4 linked regions of the Saccharomyces cerevisiae S288C genome follow. The gene in region 2 interacts genetically with the main gene of each other region. Each region holds a gene or a part of one and is shown on either strand. Other genes may lie near its edges.

What was found.
Region 1: mutations in ERD1 (region 2) and CWH41 together harm fitness more than expected from each alone (negative genetic interaction), as found in Saccharomyces cerevisiae (3 studies listed by BioGRID).
Region 3: mutations in ERD1 (region 2) and BST1 together harm fitness more than expected from each alone (negative genetic interaction), as found in Saccharomyces cerevisiae (4 studies listed by BioGRID).
Region 4: mutations in ERD1 (region 2) and BIG1 together harm fitness more than expected from each alone (negative genetic interaction), as found in Saccharomyces cerevisiae (3 studies listed by BioGRID).

Annotation. Positions count from the first base shown.
Region 1 is NC_001139.9:442,929-448,199, forward strand, and holds CWH41 (mannosyl-oligosaccharide glucosidase), read right to left. Parts: upstream 3,216-5,271; coding exon 714-3,215; downstream 1-713. Other genes in the region: tryptophan synthase TRP5, read right to left, coding at 3,484-5,271. UniProt on the Saccharomyces cerevisiae protein: Cleaves the distal alpha 1,2-linked glucose residue from the Glc(3)Man(9)GlcNAc(2) oligosaccharide precursor highly specifically. Seems to play a role in beta-1,6-glucan synthesis.
Region 2 is NC_001136.10:1,294,796-1,298,378, reverse strand, and holds ERD1 (Erd1p), read left to right. Parts: upstream 1-1,692; coding exon 1,693-2,781; downstream 2,782-3,583. Other genes in the region: YDR415C (putative aminopeptidase), read left to right, coding at 218-1,342; rRNA-processing protein RRP17, read right to left, coding at 2,979-3,583. UniProt on the Saccharomyces cerevisiae protein: Required for the retention of luminal endoplasmic reticulum proteins, affects glycoprotein processing in the Golgi apparatus.
Region 3 is NC_001138.5:83,319-88,915, reverse strand, and holds BST1 (Bst1p), read left to right. Parts: upstream 1-1,681; coding exon 1,682-4,771; downstream 4,772-5,597. Other genes in the region: EPL1 (Epl1p), read left to right, coding at 1-1,069; alpha-factor pheromone receptor STE2, read right to left, coding at 5,041-5,597.
Region 4 is NC_001140.6:314,091-317,790, forward strand, and holds BIG1 (Big1p), read right to left. Parts: upstream 1,879-3,700; coding exon 1,769-1,878; intron 1,682-1,768; coding exon 784-1,681; downstream 1-783. Other genes in the region: GEP4 (phosphatidylglycerophosphatase), read right to left, coding at 26-583; putative serine/threonine protein kinase KIC1, read left to right, coding at 2,482-3,700. UniProt on the Saccharomyces cerevisiae protein: Required for normal beta-1,6-glucan synthesis.

The sequences.
Region 1 (5,271 bases), on a different chromosome or scaffold from region 2:
TTATATCAATGAGTGTAGCGTAATAATAAGTCGATAAACAGTACAGAGAATAGAATAGATTTATTACAGTGGAGGTATGTCAGTAAAGGCTTATTCTTCTAAAAGAGTGGACTGTCTTTGTTGCGTAACTGACGATTATAGTACTGTTGCCTTAATATATAACAGTGTATTTGGATAAGCAGAAGGAAAACACGATCATTGAACTTCAATTTTCTTTCCACTTAAATAGTCCCTCCTCAGATTCTTAATTTGTTTTCGGTGCAGCATATTTTGTTGTCAGTCCTTACACTTTAACATTTTGAGATCTAGTATCCAGCTTGTAAACAATAACATTCCCTAACTTTTATTCATCTTACCGCAGTAAATAGAAAAGACCTCACTTCGCAACCATTAATCCCCAAAAGAAAAAAAAAAATGTGACATTTCATAATGCATGTTTCGAGTGTGTTTTCGATTGTTTATTTGTCTGGCTTTTAGCTGCAATGGCCCAGACTGCTAGTTACCAGTTGCTGGTTTCCACGATTTTTTAACTTTTTCTCACAGCCGCATCGAAATGTAAATAAACGCGAGAAAAAAAAAGCTGAAAATGCTGGCTCTAACTAAGAGATGCGAGGCCCTTTTCGAATAGCTGGAACATTTATAATTTTCATCCTGCATACTGGTACATATCTGGTTACATATCTGTTTATATGACTGAAAATATCTACATAGATTCAGAAGCGTCCAAGGATGTTGACAACAAGTGCTGTCCAGCCTGTGAAATGCTCAGCACCAGTACCATGACCATCTATCGGACTGTAATTTTCATAACAATAACCTTGTTCTTCCCAAACTTTGTATATGTTGTTACTGAGATTAATCTTTAAACTTTGGTACAGTTTCTTGGCATTGCTAGCCTCACCAGCCACGTCGAGAATCACCTCTGGGTAGTAGTATCTCATTGCGTCAAGACACAAGTAATTAATATTCATCCAAATTGGGCCTCTCCAATAGTTTTCATCCTTGCCGAAATAGTCGTCTTGTCTCGATAGTGATAACAGCCCGTAGTCTGAAAAGATTTTTTCTGGGTCACTCATCAAAGCAACTACTTTCTCTAGCTTGGGTGAGTTTTTGGGGATTAGCTTCAATGCAAAGGGCAATACGGAGACGTAACCCTCATGACATACAAACTCCCTAATCTCATCGTCTTCTGGATCGATGCTAATATCACAGTAGCAATTGTCATTTTCACTCCAGTGTAACAAATCCAGATTCTCGACCACCTCTTGCTCAATTTGTGCATATCTTTGCTCGTCCTGTGTTAACTTCAACACGTGAGCAATTTGCTTCATGGATCTTGTCATAACGCCCACCCATGCTAATGCGTCTACGTTCAATTCTGCTACATCTGGTGGTTGTGCTCTAGGATAGTCATCCATACCGCTTGGCAAACAATGAGTGAAGGTACGCCCAACCCATCTATAAACTTCGTTCTTATGAATCTTATCCCATATTCCTTCATCTTCCAATATTTCCTCATATTCATCAATAAGTCCTGTTTGAGATTTTCTGAACCAATTATAGTGCTTCAATAGCTTAGGATAAATTTTCTTGGCATATTCGGTTAGCAAGCCAGGATTGGCTTCTAGATTGTTCGTCATAAACTTGGCTGTCCTACTATTGAACATGACTTGGTGGTAGCTGTCACTGTTGAAATCGCCGATGTTTTCAATGGCCCTAGAAAGCATTTCACTAAATGCTAGCAATAAAGTTGGCGGATTAGCAATATTGGGATTTTGCACCTGAAATTCCTGCGGAACTTTACTCCTTGCCTCATTACCCAGTATAATTTCTCTAGCAATCCAACCACTATCATCTTCGATCATTTCAAACCAGCTCGCTAAGATTTCAAAGGCAAGGTCAAAATCATACTCCATAATTTGTAGAAGATGGAAACCTTCATCCCAATAGAATCCACGTGGGAAAAAGCCACGGCTCGGAACGCTGGTAAACAGTTCAAATGGACCTTCCTCTTTTGCATTCAGCAGTTTGATCTCTGTAAACTGGCTCTCATCAAATTCTGTTTCACGATCAATTAGTTGATTCCCATAGAAATAACCGATTCCTCCTAATAGGTTTGATAGCGTCTCTAAAGCAAATCTTCTTTTGACCTCCACGCTTTCAATTGAGTCGGGACCTTCTCCAAAACTAAACTGCTTATCAAAACGCGCGTTTATCTCATTTAGTGACCAAGTAATCAACTCCGTAACTTGTTCCCTGGTGGAAATACTTTGAGTAGTGCCAAGTTTATTGTAAGTGATATCAAATTGGAACCCATCTTTTTTGGTCAAATCAAATGTCTTTTGTATATAATGAAAATTACCAGGATTAAAATTGTACAAATTTCTAATAGTTAAAACACTTGGTATTAAATCAGCAGGACGCTGCTTTGTCTCTTCCTTTTCCAGTATATCACGTATCGAATCGCTAACTAGAGATTGGAAAACATCACGAGCCTTCCAAACTTCTTTATCCGGGATTTGAAGTGATAAATGACTTGTTTTAGAGCAGTCACTTCCTGGTGCTACTTCCATGGTTTCATATTCCGGATTTTTGAAGTAGTGACCAAAATTGTCCTTTACTGTAAGATGATACTCGCCTAATTCTTTAGAATATCCGAAGAATTTCATGTCATTAGGGCCGTCATGACCTATCATTGCTAAGGAAGATTTTCCATCTATCTCGCCACCATTTTGACTAAAGTACAATACGACAGATGCTGTAGATGGTCTCTTGGGATCCAAAGGCTCACCTTGAACTCTCACTGACCAATTTTCCCCGTTCTTGCTCTTTACAAAATAAACAGTCAAGTTCAAGTTATTTTTTTCATCAATAAAAACTTCTTTACCACCAATTCTTGGATCATACACTTCCCAACCATACTTTTGCAATTTATCCTGAGGCGTTGCAAAATGTCTTAACGAATGTAAGCCATCCTGACTCAAACTGTTGAACCACATGATACCCATAATTAGTGGACTTTCATGGACATATCTGGGCCTCATACCAAAGTAACAATTGGATCTATACGGTGCCCACAGTAAAGATTCATTCGTGAACTTTTGATATTCTTCGAATTCTTGTAGTTTACTAATATCAACGGTGGCAGATGCCAGGAGAACTATGCTGGTTAGTATCCAAAATGTTTTAAACATCTTAGATTTTGAAATAAGCATTGTGAAGCAACCTGAACCGTTATTATCCACTACTTCCTTATTAACAGTTGACGCTAATATAGTGTGTCACGCATACAATAATTGAACTTTTAAATTACGCGAAAATGTGGCTGTTCTGACCGAAATGATCTAAAATTGGTCACGATACTAATCTTGAGCAAATTGAGAGGTAAAAGAGCTGAATATGCTAATGTATCCCGATCGTATATTATATTCGTCTATGTAGTTAAAAAGCTAAATAAAAGCGTTCCTTATCAGATATTACTCATTAGGCAGATGGGTCTTCTTCGAATCTCAAATCCCAACCTATCTTTGGACCTAATTTCGGCAAGACTTCAGCGACACTTTGGACATCTTTATCACCTCTACCAGAAATATTGATAACCAAATGTTGATCAGGCTTCATCGTCTTAGCCAATTCGCAAGCGCCATAAACAGCATGAGAAGATTCCAAAGCGGGAATAATACCTTCTAATTGAGATAATAATTTAAAGCCAAGCAGAGCCTGAGCGTCAGTAGCTGCAATGAATTGAGCACGGCCAGTAGATTTCCAATATGCCAATTCTGGACCGACACCTGGGTAGTCTAACCCAGCAGAAACAGAATGAGTATCATGGACTTGACCATCACTATCTTGCAAGACATAAGTCTTGACACCATGGAAGACACCAGGTCTACCGGCAGTTAGAGTAGCAGAGTGGAACTTTGTATCTACACCATCACCACCGGCTTCCACACCCAATAACTTAACGGAAGTATCATGCTCGAATGGTGAAAACATACCTGTAGAGTTGGAACCACCCCCAACACATGCAACAACTGCGTCAGGTAATTTACCATTGTTCATGGCAGCAAACTGTTCCTTGGTTTCTTTACCAATGACACTTTGGAAAGTTCTAACCAAAGTTGGATATGGGTGAGGACCAATGGCAGAACCGACGACGTAGTAAGTAGTTTTCAAGTTAGTAACCCAAAATCTGAATGCCTCTGAAGTAGCGTCTCTTAGAGTCTTTGTACCATTAGTAACAGCAATTACTTTAGCACCGAGAATTCTCATTCTGAAGACGTTTAAAGCTTGGCGACGAACATCTTCTGCACCCATGAACACAGTACAGGTTAAGCCAAATTTAGCACATGCAGTGGCAGTGGCAACACCGTGTTGACCAGCACCGGTTTCAGCAATAACGTTCTTCTTGCCTAATCTTTTAGCTAGAAGAACTTGTGCTAAAGCATTGTTGATCTTGTGAGATCCCGTGTGGTTAAGATCTTCTCTCTTCAACCAGATTTGAGCACCTTGACAATGCTCAGTTAATCTCTCAGCTTTGTGTAGTGAAGAAGGACGGCCAATATAAGAATACAAGGATTTGAAGTCTTCCCAGAATGTGGGATCGGCGACAGCTTCATCAAAACCCTTTTCCAACTCTCTTAGACATGCATGAAGAGCTTCTGGGACATACTGACCACCAAAGTCCCCAAATCTAATTGGGTGCTTGTGATTTTCATCAAATTCGTCCAGTATTTCCTTCTTAACGTTTGCGGACTTCAAGGACTCTTTTTGAAAGGCAAAGAATTCGTCCTTGGACAGAACCTTATGCTTAGCACCATTTAGAATTCCCTGTACATATTCCTTAGCAACGTCGTACCTTTTGCCCTCTGGAGCATCTCCACATAATGTGACGATTTTGGAACCAATCACTACACCGTCAGCAACACTACCAACTGATTGGAAATGTTCTCTGGTAGAGACACCAAACCCAACGGCCAAAGGAGTATCCTTGGTGTACTTTCTGACTCTAGAGATGAGTTCATCCAAATCACTGGCCACAGAACTTTGAACACCAGTAGTACCCATTCTAGACACAACGTAGACAAACGAATCGGCAATATGCGATAGTAATTCCAATCTTTCGTCGGTGGTAGAAGGAGCCACTAGTGGGATCAGGCTCAAACCATTATCATTGATGTAGTTTCTGACCTTCAACGCCTCCTCTGGTGGCAAATCGACGATGATAAAACCATTAGCACCAGCCTTGGCAGCGTCCTGAATAAATCTTTC
Region 2 (3,583 bases):
ATGGAGGCCTGATTATTTCCTTTTTTTCTATCTATTTCCTTTTGTATTATTTTGACTGAAAAGCTTGCCAGCGTCTTTACTAAAATCTTTCATATGTTCGGACCGCTATAGTAAACTGAAACTTGATATTCAATAATTATCAATCTTCGAAGCTAAAGAAATACAAAATCTTTATTCGAAAAAGTAAGTAACATAATCAACCGCTGATTAGCACAATATGAGGATACAGTCGCTTTTTGTTTTATTTAATGTTGCCATCATCGCATGGTCATATCCATATGAGCCTTTAAGGGTTTTACAAGTAGGAGAGAATGAGGTAATGGAGGTTCCCGAATCAGAAAAGCTAAACTTACGAAGAAGAGGTGTCAAATTCTTTGATGTGACCAAACACACTTCTTTCTTACCTTTCTTTAACAAGGAGGAAGAGCCAACAGTACCAACGTATAACTATCCTCCTGAGATATCGAACAAAGAAGTAGTGGATGATTCGATTAAGAATATAGACAAGGGCTCTATGCACAAGAACTTGGCAAAGTTTACAAGTTTTTACACCCGTTACTACAAGTCCGATCACGGCTTTGAATCTGCCGAGTGGTTAGCTGCAACTATCGCTAATATTACAAAAGATATTCCGCAAGATACGTTGACTATTGAACATTTTGATCACAAAGAATGGAAGCAATATTCAATTATAGTCCGTGTCACGGGATCTACTACGCCAGAAGATATTATAATAATTGGTTCTCATCAAGATTCTATCAATCTGCTACTGCCATCCATAATGGCAGCTCCAGGTGCGGACGACAATGGGTCAGGCACGGTGACTAATATGGAGGCTCTCAGATTATATACGGAAAATTTTTTGAAGAGAGGATTTAGACCTAACAACACTGTGGAATTTCACTTTTATTCCGCCGAAGAGGGGGGATTGTTGGGTTCTCTTGATGTTTTTACAGCTTATGCCAAACAGAAAAAGCATGTGAGAGCGATGCTTCAGCAAGACATGACGGGATATGTTTCTGATCCAGAAGATGAACATGTGGGGATTGTCACCGACTACACTACTCCCGCATTAACTGATTTTATAAAACTAATTATCAACTCTTATCTATCCATTCCTTACAGGGATACACAATGTGGCTATGCTTGTAGCGATCATGGGAGTGCCACCAGAAACGGATTTCCAGGCTCCTTCGTGATTGAAAGTGAGTTCAAAAAGACTAACAAGTATATTCACAGCACCATGGATACTTTGGACAGATTAAGTCTCGCTCATATGGCGGAACACACAAAAATTGTATTAGGGGTAATCATTGAACTCGGGTCATGGTCCGCTTGGTAAAAGTCAGTAATATGCATACATAACTAATGATGCCTTACCTTGGTGTTCTTTTGTAATATACCTAAACCGATATCACGCTAGTATTTATTTCCCGAATTTTTTTGGCGTATTTCGTCATCTGAAAATAACATAATCAATGAAAGAAATAGAGTCAGTTGCAAAAAGTGCAAGCCAGCGCTAACCGCTCCCGATTTAGTCGCAATATTGATGGCAAACAGTACCAAAAACTGGTTACCCATATAAATTGTTTGGCATTGTTATTATTGTTATAAATTATTATTGTTATTATTATAAATTATTATTAGTATTATACAAAGTTTTCAATTCTGCAACAAGTTGGGCCGCAAAATATGGAGAAAAGCGAAAGTAATTCTGAAGGACTTTATCTCCAAAATATATTAAATGTTCCCCCTCCGCAGCGATTTATTGTGCTCATAATACTTGCCCTTTGGATCTGGACATGGATATTAAAATTCTTCTTGCATAGTAATTTAGACGTATCCCAAGTCATACTCACGAGAGTACCGCACGATATACGTCCAGGTTATACTCTACAGCAATTGCATAGAACAGCTAGAAATTTTGCTTTGAAGATAACAAGGATTATTATACCGTTCCACTTTGCCACTGTGTTCCTTTTTGAGTTCATGAATATTATAGAAGGTCCACTCAAAAATATCATTCTCATCGTATATTTTCTACCATTGATCCAATGTGTCACTATATTTTGGTTTCTGTTGAAAGAGTGCCAGATAATAAAATATTGTACTAGGAGATGTTTGTTGATAGAATCCTCCCCCCGTTCCTTAAGGAATACCTACATTTTAATCTCTGACACGTTGACATCGTTTGCAAAACCATTGATAGACTTCACATTGTTTACCTCTCTAATTTTTAGAGAACCCTTCACACATTTTGATCTATCCGTAGCCCTTCTTCCTGTACTGGTAAGACTACTGCAGTGTTTGAGAGAATACCGTTTACTGCACGAAGCAACTTTACTATTCAATGCATTGAAATACAGTTGTAATCTTCCCATTCTTTTTTGCACCTGGAGATCAAGAGTGTATGAGGGATCCATCAACGAAGAAAGACTACACCACGTTCAAAGATGGTTTATGCTAATTAATTCTTCCTATACGTTATTTTGGGATGTAAGGATGGATTGGTCATTGGACTCGTTAACCTCTTTAAGATCCAGATCCAAAAGTGCCGTCACATTAAAGAAAAAAATGTATCATTCGGCGATTCTCGTTGACTTTTTGCTGAGGTTCTGGTGGCTATGGGTATATTTATCGCAGAATCTGAAATTAGTTGCCGCAGATAGCGACTACATTTTTTTCCAAGGCGAAATGCAGTATTTCGAAGTAATTAGAAGAGGCATATGGGTCGTTTTCAAATTGGACGCAGAGTATTATATTAAGTTTGCAAGCAAATAATTTGTTGGGCAAGCCATATAAAATCATGCAAATGCTGTAAATATTTGTTCTATTTTCCCCGTAGAATGGTTTATTCGATATATTACATATAATAAACGAAAAATACATATGCACAGTATATACTTTTCCAAAAAAAAATCAAACACTGTTTGAGCGTCAAGAAACCCCAGGCGGTGCCCGACGATAATGCGACTGCATTATCTCCTACGCTTGTTGTCGTTTGCCTTTCTTTGGTTTATTCTTCGTTCATTTTTGGTCAAATATCTGAACTTTTTTACTCTTGGCTTCTTCTTTTGTTTCTCATCCACGCCCAGAAACTTCGCGTATTTGGTGGCTCTATTTATGCTTTGTTTGAGTACTTTTTCTGCCTTTTCTAATTTGACATTATTTAGCTGGGCTAAATATTCAAAGTTATCATTGGGTTCCAATGTCTCCAATTCAACAGTAGTTGAGTCATCGTATATTTCCGTGATTGCTCCTTTCTTCAAAATAGGCTTTACGCTACTTTCATTATTGTCGTTATCGCCGTCATCTTTATCAGAATCAAACCCGTGCCAGGATTCATCAGATTCTACCTGCAAATCCTCCGTCTTATCATTTTTCGCATCCTCTATCTCAGCTTCCAAGTTTAAACTCTCTTTAAACGTCTTTAACTGTTCTTCCATCACCTCCTTACGTTCCTGCCGAATCTTCTGTCTTTCTTCAATTTTTCTAAGCCTTTCCTGCTCCTTAATAAACTCTTGTGCTTTCTTTTGTCTTTGAAGCTTTCTCTTGTGAAAGCCAGTCAGATAATCCAAACGAG
Region 3 (5,597 bases), on a different chromosome or scaffold from region 2:
TTCTTCAACATCACAGCCAATTACGTCTCATGTTTATGTCAAACTACCATCTTCCAAAATTCCTGACATTGTATTGGAAGACGTGGATGCTCTATTGAACAGCAAAGAAAAAAATGCAAGAAAGTTCGTTCAGGAAAAGATGGAGAAACGGAAAATTGAAGACGCAGATGTCTTTTTCAACTTAACGGACGATCCCTTTAATCCTGTATTTGACATGTCGTTGCCTAAAAATTTTTCGACTAGTAATGTTCCCTTTGCATCTATCGCGTCATCCAAGTTTCAGATAGATAGATCTTTTTATTCTTCACATTTACCAGAATACTTGAAGGGGATATCTGATGACATCAGAATATATGATTCAAATGGCCGTTCGAGAAACAAAGATAATTACAACTTGGATACCAAAAGAATCAAAAAAACTGAACTGTACGACCCATTCCAAGAAAATTTGGAAATTCATTCGAGAGAGTATCCAATAAAATTCAGGAAGAGAGTTGGTAGATCTAATATTAAGTATGTTGATCGTATGCCAAATTTTACAACATCGTCGACCAAGTCTGCATGTTCTTTAATGGATTTTGTAGATTTCGATTCAATCGAAAAAGAACAATATTCAAGAGAAGGTAGTAACGATACTGACTCGATTAATGTTTACGATTCCAAATACGACGAATTTGTCAGACTTTACGACAAGTGGAAGTATGATTCTCCACAAAATGAATATGGGATCAAGTTTTCAGATGAACCGGCAAGACTTAACCAGATTTCAAATGATACTCAGGTGATTAGATTCGGAACAATGTTGGGTACGAAGTCCTACGAACAATTAAGGGAAGCCACCATAAAGTATCGTAGGGACTATATCACCAGACTGAAACAAAAGCATATACAACATTTACAACAGCAACAACAACAGCAGCAGCAGCAACAGCAGCAAGCACAACAACAAAAGCAGAAATCACAGAACAATAATTCAAATTCTTCGAACTCCCTAAAAAAATTAAATGATTCGTTAATCAATTCAGAAGCGAAACAGAACTCTTCTATAACCCAGAAAAATTCATCATGAGCAGCACAACTTTGTACCTCTCGAACATCTTTCTACGCATTGGCATTTAACAAACCTGACATTCAAAGTTTACTACGAAAGTCGAGGCAACATTACTGAAGATTCAAATCACCGAAATGAACACCGATAACGCAATAATAATGAAAAAAAACAAAAAACAAAAAAAGATAACTACAATAAATTTCAAAAGAAAAATAGCAAGTATCATCCGGCTGTAATATTATCACCTTCACAAGACTACATATTTTTAACGTTTTTTTTAATTTCCATTTCACACGGTTGTGACCTTTTGATTTTTCGCATGATTTCATCCCAAATGCTTGATGTATTTAAGTTAGATTCATACTCTTATATAGACAATTGCATAACTCACTAGGTACCCTCAAATAAATGCATTTCTTCTTATTATCCATTTTTTTTTCCTGTATGGCGCGAATTTTGAAAAAGGTCTAAATATACCAACCAAGTCATAACAAGAAAAAGTAAAAATGAGTCTCAACACATTCCTTGCAGTTCCATCTGATAGTAAATTCACACTCGAAATACTCCCTCTACTTTAAAGCATTGGCCTATATCTTAGGCTTACCATCATACAAAAATCTTCATTTCGTTATGGGTATCAGGAGATTAGTTAGTGTTATAACGCGGCCCATAATTAATAAAGTTAACTCATCTGGTCAATACTCGAGAGTACTCGCTACGCGTGAAGACCAGGATAAAGCTTCCCCCAAATATATGAACAATGATAAGATAGCAAAAAAACCTTACACATATCGCCTTTTCTCTATTCTTGGCATTTTAAGCATTTGCTCGCTTTTATTGATATCGCTACTGAAACCTTTTAATGGTGCAGATGCTCCTCAGTGTGAATCTATCTATATGTTTCCATCTTACGCAAGGATCGATGGATTTGACGAGAGGTATACACCACTGGCACACAAGTATCATCTTTACTTGTATCGAGAACAAAGCGTAGACCGAGAACCTTTAAATGGTGATGAGTTACAACTTGATGGTATCCCTGTACTTTTTATACCCGGAAATGCAGGTTCTTTTAGGCAATGCAGATCGATTGCTTCCGCTTGCTCCAATATATATTTTGATTCCAATACCAGGGCGACTCTGCGTAACGAAAATGTGCGAAATTTGGACTTCTTTACGGCAGATTTCAATGAAGATTTCACTGCGTTTCATGGTGAAACAATGCTTGATCAAGCTGAATACCTAAATGATGCCATTAAGTACATCTTGTCTCTTTACGAAAGGACCCCTGATTACCCACATCCAAAACCGCAGTCAGTTATTATCGTGGGACATTCCATGGGCGGTATTGTATCCAGGGTCATGCTAACTTTGAAGAACCACGTACCGGGAAGTATAAGCACCATATTGACCTTATCATCACCTCATGCTGCTTCACCAGTAACCTTTGATGGTGACATTTTAAAGCTTTACAAAAATACAAACGAATATTGGAGAAAGCAGTTATCCCAAAACGATTCTTTTTTCTCTAAGAACATTTCATTGGTTTCCATTACAGGCGGTATATTGGATACTACTTTACCTGCAGATTATGCATCTGTAGAAGATTTGGTTAGCTTAGAAAATGGGTTCACCAGCTTCACAACTACTATTCCAGATGTTTGGACTCCAATTGATCATTTAGCCATTGTTTGGTGCAAGCAATTAAGAGAGGTACTAGCGCGCCTTTTATTGGAAAGTATAGATGCCTCCAAACCTGAAAAAGTTAAGCCATTGAATCAGAGATTGCAAATCGCTAGAAAACTATTGCTTTCAGGGTTTGAAGACTACTCATGGATGAATAGTAAGTTAAATTATCCTCAAGAAAACTTACAAGAATTTAGTGACAACTTCTTTTCTGATTACGCTACTTTGGAAATGAACGATGTCCTAGATTTTGAAATGTTTAACCTGGAAAAGTGGCACAACAATTATACAAAAATAAATATTCCGAGTAACATCTCCTCCACTGAACACCTGCATTTCACATTATTAACTAGTCTCGATATGCCTATGATCTATTTCTGTACAGAGTCCAGGGTGAATCTAAGCTGTATAACAGCTGTTGATAGTATTCTAACAGTGCCCAGGTCTTCAAAAGATACTCAGTTCGCAGCTGATTCTTCTTTTGGAGAAGCAAAAAATCCGTTTAAAGCCGTTAGTGTTGGCAAGAATATACTACAGAAGTACGACTACTTGATGATAAGCAAACCCACTTACGGTGAATTTTCAGAACAAGAAGGCATGGAGGACAATCAGGGGTTTCTTTTGGCATTACTGCGCAACGTCTCCAATGTACAAATAGTCAATACTACACCTTCTCAAATATTGCTCTTTGGAGAACAACTACACTTGGATGGCAAAGACATCGAGCAGGTTATAAGTTTCAGTAATTTGTGGGATTCTTTATTATCGTACAAATTAGAAACCAAGATTGAGGCAAGCAACGAAGGTATTGCTTCCGAAGAGACATTGTTTCAGCCTTTCATAAGGCAATGGGTTTACGAACCTTTCGAGTCTAAATGGCATCTAAATATTATAAACAAAAGTCTCGATATAAATATGCATAATGTAGCACCGTTTATCCCATTAAATGAAAGCGAACCGAGATCGCTACAATTAAGTTTTTTTATTCCACCCGGAATGTCCTTAGAAGCTAAAATGACTATTAATTGGTCTTTAACTTTGAAAATGCTGTTTATCAGGTACAGATTAGCACTAGCATCTTTTCCAGTCGCGTTTATAGCACTCGTACTGTCATACCAGTTCTACTGGTACAACAAGACATCTGAGTTTCCTTCCTTTGATAGCACTTTGGGATATATTTTAAGAAAGCACGGAATATTAATGTTTTTTACGCTGTTCTTAGCTTCGCCTGTGGTTAATAATAAGTTGGTACAACGAATACTTTATTTATTGGATCCTGTCGGTTTAAATTATCCATTTCTGCTATCCGAGAGAAACATGCATGCAAATTTTTATTATTTGGGGATCAGAGATTGGTTTATGTCAACTATTGGAATTCTCTTTGGGGTTATGACAGTTGGATTACTAGCACTAGTTTCTAAGATTTTTGGATCCTTGGAAATTTTAGTAATATTCCTTCAACGGAAGTTATCAAAGAAAAACACTGAAGATAAAGAGGCTTTTGATACTATTGAACATAAAGCGTATGGTAAGGGAAGATTAATGGCATCTGTGCTTTTATTACTGTTGGTATTTTTTCACATACCATACCAGATGGCGTTTGTTATCTCATTAGTAATCCAAATTGCTACCTGCATTAGAGTAGCGCTGTTGAAACTATCAAACAACGAGCAGAAATTGAACTTACTAAATTATAATATGACGTTGCTTCTGCTTTTATTATTTGTTAGTGCCATTAACATCCCTATCATTATTGTTTTCCTGCATAATGTTGCCATCAAATGGGAAACTTCATTTAGATCCCATCACAATATACTAGCAGTGGCACCAATTATTTTTTTGGTTGGAAATAATTCTATTTTCAAAATGCCAAACAGCGTACCTTTAGACACGTGGGATGGTAAAGTTACCATCATTTTATTTGTGTACTTAACCGTTTTCAGTTTCATTTATGGAATAAGAAATCTGTACTGGATACACCACTTGGTGAACATAATATGTGCCTGGTTGCTATTTTTCGAAACAATACATTAGAACTACAACCCAGTAAAAAAAGATTAACTGTATATATTGCCTGAGAGTTCTAGATCATGGCAAGAAAAAAGCTTGAACTCGTAAAAGCAAAGGTGGTTTCTACCACTACTTACGAGATGTTTATTATGTAAAGGAGTTTAAATATTATCAAATAAGAAAGATACCATTTTTTTTTATAGAGAATGTGGTGCATCTGATGAGCACCTGAATCTAGTAGTAACCTTATACCGAAGGTCACGAAATTACTTTTTCAAAGCCGTAAATTTTGATCATAAATTATTATTATCTTCAGTCCAGAACTTTCTGGCTTCCTCATCAGCTGCCGTATCGGGAGTGTACATGTCGACGGGTTCAACTTCTCCCTCTTTGTAACTTGCATCAGCAAACGGTCCTATCCTAGTATTTTTTGAACTCGTAGGTGTGGGCAACTGATAAAACTGATTTTTCTCTATATCATCTGCAGTCTCAGAAACAAAAGTTCTTTCCGAATGTTTATCCGATGTTGTTTCCTTCCTTCTAGGATATAGGTCATATAATCTACTTCTGAGACTGCTTTTAGCATCGTTGTTGATACTATCAGTTTGAAAGCTAGACAGCGTGCCTGGATAAAACCTATCTGTGGATGTTGTAAAGTCTGAAGTAATTGTGTTTGTTTTGGATGCATTATTAGCAGCCGTGGCCCACATTGATGATAATGGTAAAGACAATACAGCAAGTAATGTTGCAACAGTAGTCAAGACATCTGTTCCCTGGTTTGGTTTCAAACTGTATGCGAGGATGAATATTATCGATGGAACCAACAAAGATTGACATGACATTATGAGTA
Region 4 (3,700 bases), on a different chromosome or scaffold from region 2:
TTTACTTTTTATTAAAGTTGCCTAATCAAAATCCCAAAAAGTTGTATAATTTTTTTTCGAACTTGGAGAGAGGATTTGCCGAAACTTTAACACCATCTCGAATCCACACCCCGTATGAACCCATTAGGTTTGCCATCAAGATGTCAGTAAAAAGCCTATCTCCAACAACAGCAACCTCTTTTGGATTTGTTATGGTTTTGTTTCTATAAAAATAATCTAATATTTCGTTGTGACAACCTGGTTTCTTTGTAGAGTGCCGCAAAACAGGTATACCTGTCTTATCTTCCAAAAGTTTTGCTTGCGAATAGTCCTTATCAGAATTGGAACCGGCGGTATTGCTAACAATCAAGAGTGCTTTGTTAGAGTATTTCGACCTTAAGGTTTCCCAGTGTTGCAAGTAATCTGGCCATATTTTGTCATCATGAGGGAAGGCGATGCAGTTGTCCTTATCCAAGACCACGGCCTTTATAGAATCGTGGATTGGTATAGGAAGATCGTTAAAAGTGGGGACAACTAGACTAGGCTTACACAGTGATGGGTTATAAAGCAACCGGAGCGTATTTAAGGTGCCACTGATGTTCATGACTAGGTAGAGGAGACGATGTAATGTAACTGCCGCCTTTCAGTTTGGCCCCATATATATATATATATAAACAGACGGATAATTATATCATATTAAATGCGATAGCATAAATTTCTCGATGCGCATTGGTAAATTGTAGCATGGCGCGAAGTCTCTCATGGATAATTTTGCAAAGAATCGATGTATATAACGAACCATAATCAAGATACTTGCTGGGATGGCTTTTTCTGGATCTCTTGCACTTTTTTGAGCAGTTGTGGTGACGTCTGTTTCACGTTGTCCTTTTTATTAGTAATCTTCTCATCTACAATAGTTTTTTTTGTGAAAAAAAACTGAATAAGAATATACCCAACCAAAATTGTGAAAATCAGCTGTAATAAACCTCTGTTATTCTCAATTAATTGTGAATCAAATATTGAGACATACTCCGAAGGTGGCTCTGAAAATCGTGGAGTATAGTCATTAAACGACAGACGAGGCACATCCAAAACTCTATTATTTTGTTCCACTTCACCCACTCTGGATTTTATGTCAAAGATATCTGGAAATATTTGGATAGGGATGATCGACTCGTGAGCCAGCGTAGTTCCTGGGTTTAACGAGGTGTAAATGACATTTTGTTCTGGCGACGGAATCTGCGCCAGTATAGTCCTCAAATACTTGTCATAATGGCGGAATGCTTCTTTACGTTCATTAGTGTCCTCTGGTAACTTAGGGTACTCTATTATAATCACTCTTTTTTCGCTATCAATAAAGGGCTGGAAATCTTCTGTATTATTACCTCGTAAGTTCAACACCTGGTCTACGTTACAATACTCCTTTACAAACTCTGCAAGATCATAGTATAAATCTTGAGGCAATAGGTCTACCTTTTCGAACTTAATCGCGGTTGAACTCCGTCTTATATATCTCTGTAACGAAACAAACTCTGTTTCAAATTCCAAGAAGTCCAATTTCCTCAGGCCTGGTTGATTAATAAACACATAAGTGTCAGCATTACATACACCTAAGAATTTCTCAGCCGCTTCAATAAAGGTGTCTCTTGGTAAAGTCACAGCCCTATCATAATCCTCTTGATACTTTAAAATACCGGGAGTTCTATCCAAAAGTACAAATATGTGTATAACATCTAGTTAGTAAGAAAAATGAAAGTTACTAAAGATTAATGTTTCTTGTTCTACATACAGTTTGTAAGAGAAGAATATTGCAGGAACATTGGTCTGGTTTTGCAATTCCTCCGAAGCACAAAAGCTTCCACACATAATAAGCAACAAATATTTCAACACAGTTTGCATCTTGCCTTGCTACTCCTAATTAGTATGCGCCTACGTTTCCTAACTACAAAACAGATAGGTATAACCTGCAACTTAACCTCCGCTGCTGATATTCTTGGCCGTAGTTAAGAGAGGTTTACATTACTACAGAGCTAACCCGTGTTGCATGATATCATCGATATAATTAAAGAATGCACATATGTCAGCGGTACTATCGCATACAATGCTCTATCAGAACTCTAGATAACGTTAGAACATATCCTCCCAGGTTTCGCCACATCTGTGGCCTCGTTACTCTATTCGTTTCACTCTTTCTTATCTATTTACAGCCCATCGAGCAACATTATCATGCCACACGTCGATCTCAGGCCGATCTGACAATCTTTAAAGGCATCAACAAGAGCAGCAGCTTGCCGACGTGGCAAAAGTCAAAGAAGAACAGAGGCAACTCGTCCTACGTGAAGCCACATACAACAAGTTAGGAACTATTAGGCGGAACCGCTTTCTAAGGAGCTTACTACTTTTAACAGTACTACTTTTAACAGTACACAGATAAAGAAACAAAAAGTATAAATTTGGGCGCCATCGACTGGCAAGCAAAACACGTATAGAGAACAGGCAGTAATGACGACGAAGCCACAAAATAGTAAGCAGGGTTTAGCCGAAGGAGAGATGGATGTGAGTTCACTTTTCAAGAGAACGGAAGTTATTGGGCGAGGGAAATTTGGTGTGGTTTATAAGGGCTATAACGTGAAGACTGGACGAGTGTATGCTATCAAAGTCTTAAATTTAGATTCTGATTCTGACGAGGTGGAGGATGTGCAGCGAGAAATTCAGTTTTTGGCCTCCTTGAAACAGATTTCCAATATCACGCGGTATTATGGGTCGTATTTGAAAGACACAAGCCTTTGGATCATAATGGAACACTGCGCTGGTGGTTCACTGCGTTCGTTGTTAAGGCCAGGCAAAATCGATGAAAAGTACATTGGGGTTATTATGAGAGAACTGCTTGTAGCATTAAAATGCATTCATAAAGATAACGTCATTCATCGAGATATCAAAGCAGCAAACGTTCTGATCACTAACGAAGGTAATGTTAAACTATGCGATTTTGGTGTCGCTGCACAAGTAAACCAAACTTCTTTACGACGTCAAACTATGGCTGGGACCCCCTACTGGATGGCTCCAGAAGTGATCATGGAAGGCGTTTATTACGACACTAAAGTAGATATATGGTCTTTAGGTATTACAACGTACGAGATTGCCACCGGAAATCCGCCATACTGCGATGTGGAGGCCCTAAGGGCAATGCAACTAATCATCAAATCGAAACCACCGAGGCTTGAGGACAGATCATACAGTACATCTTTGAAAGAATTTATTGCGCTTTGTCTTGATGAGGATCCAAAGGAGAGATTGTCAGCAGACGATCTTTTAAAATCAAAATTTATCAGGGCCCACAAGGCGACGCCAACGTCCATTTTGAAAGAACTAATATCACGATATCTACTATTTAGGGACAAGAATAAAAACAAATATAAAATAGAGGGCAGTATACCGGAAAATGAGCCATCAAAACCCAGTGAAGCTCCAAAACCATCACAAAATGGCGGGGGTGATGAAGCACAAAAGTCAATAGCATCAAATGATAATGAAATTAAGAGAGTGAACGAAGGCGATGTGGAAATGAAATGGGATTTTGATTCATTGAGTTCGTCGGATTATATTATTGAAAATAATATCAACCTCGATGCTTTGGCTGAGGACAACAACGAGTGGGCTACTGCCCAACATGACCTGTTCAACTATGCATACCCTGACGAAGATTCTTATTACTTTGACC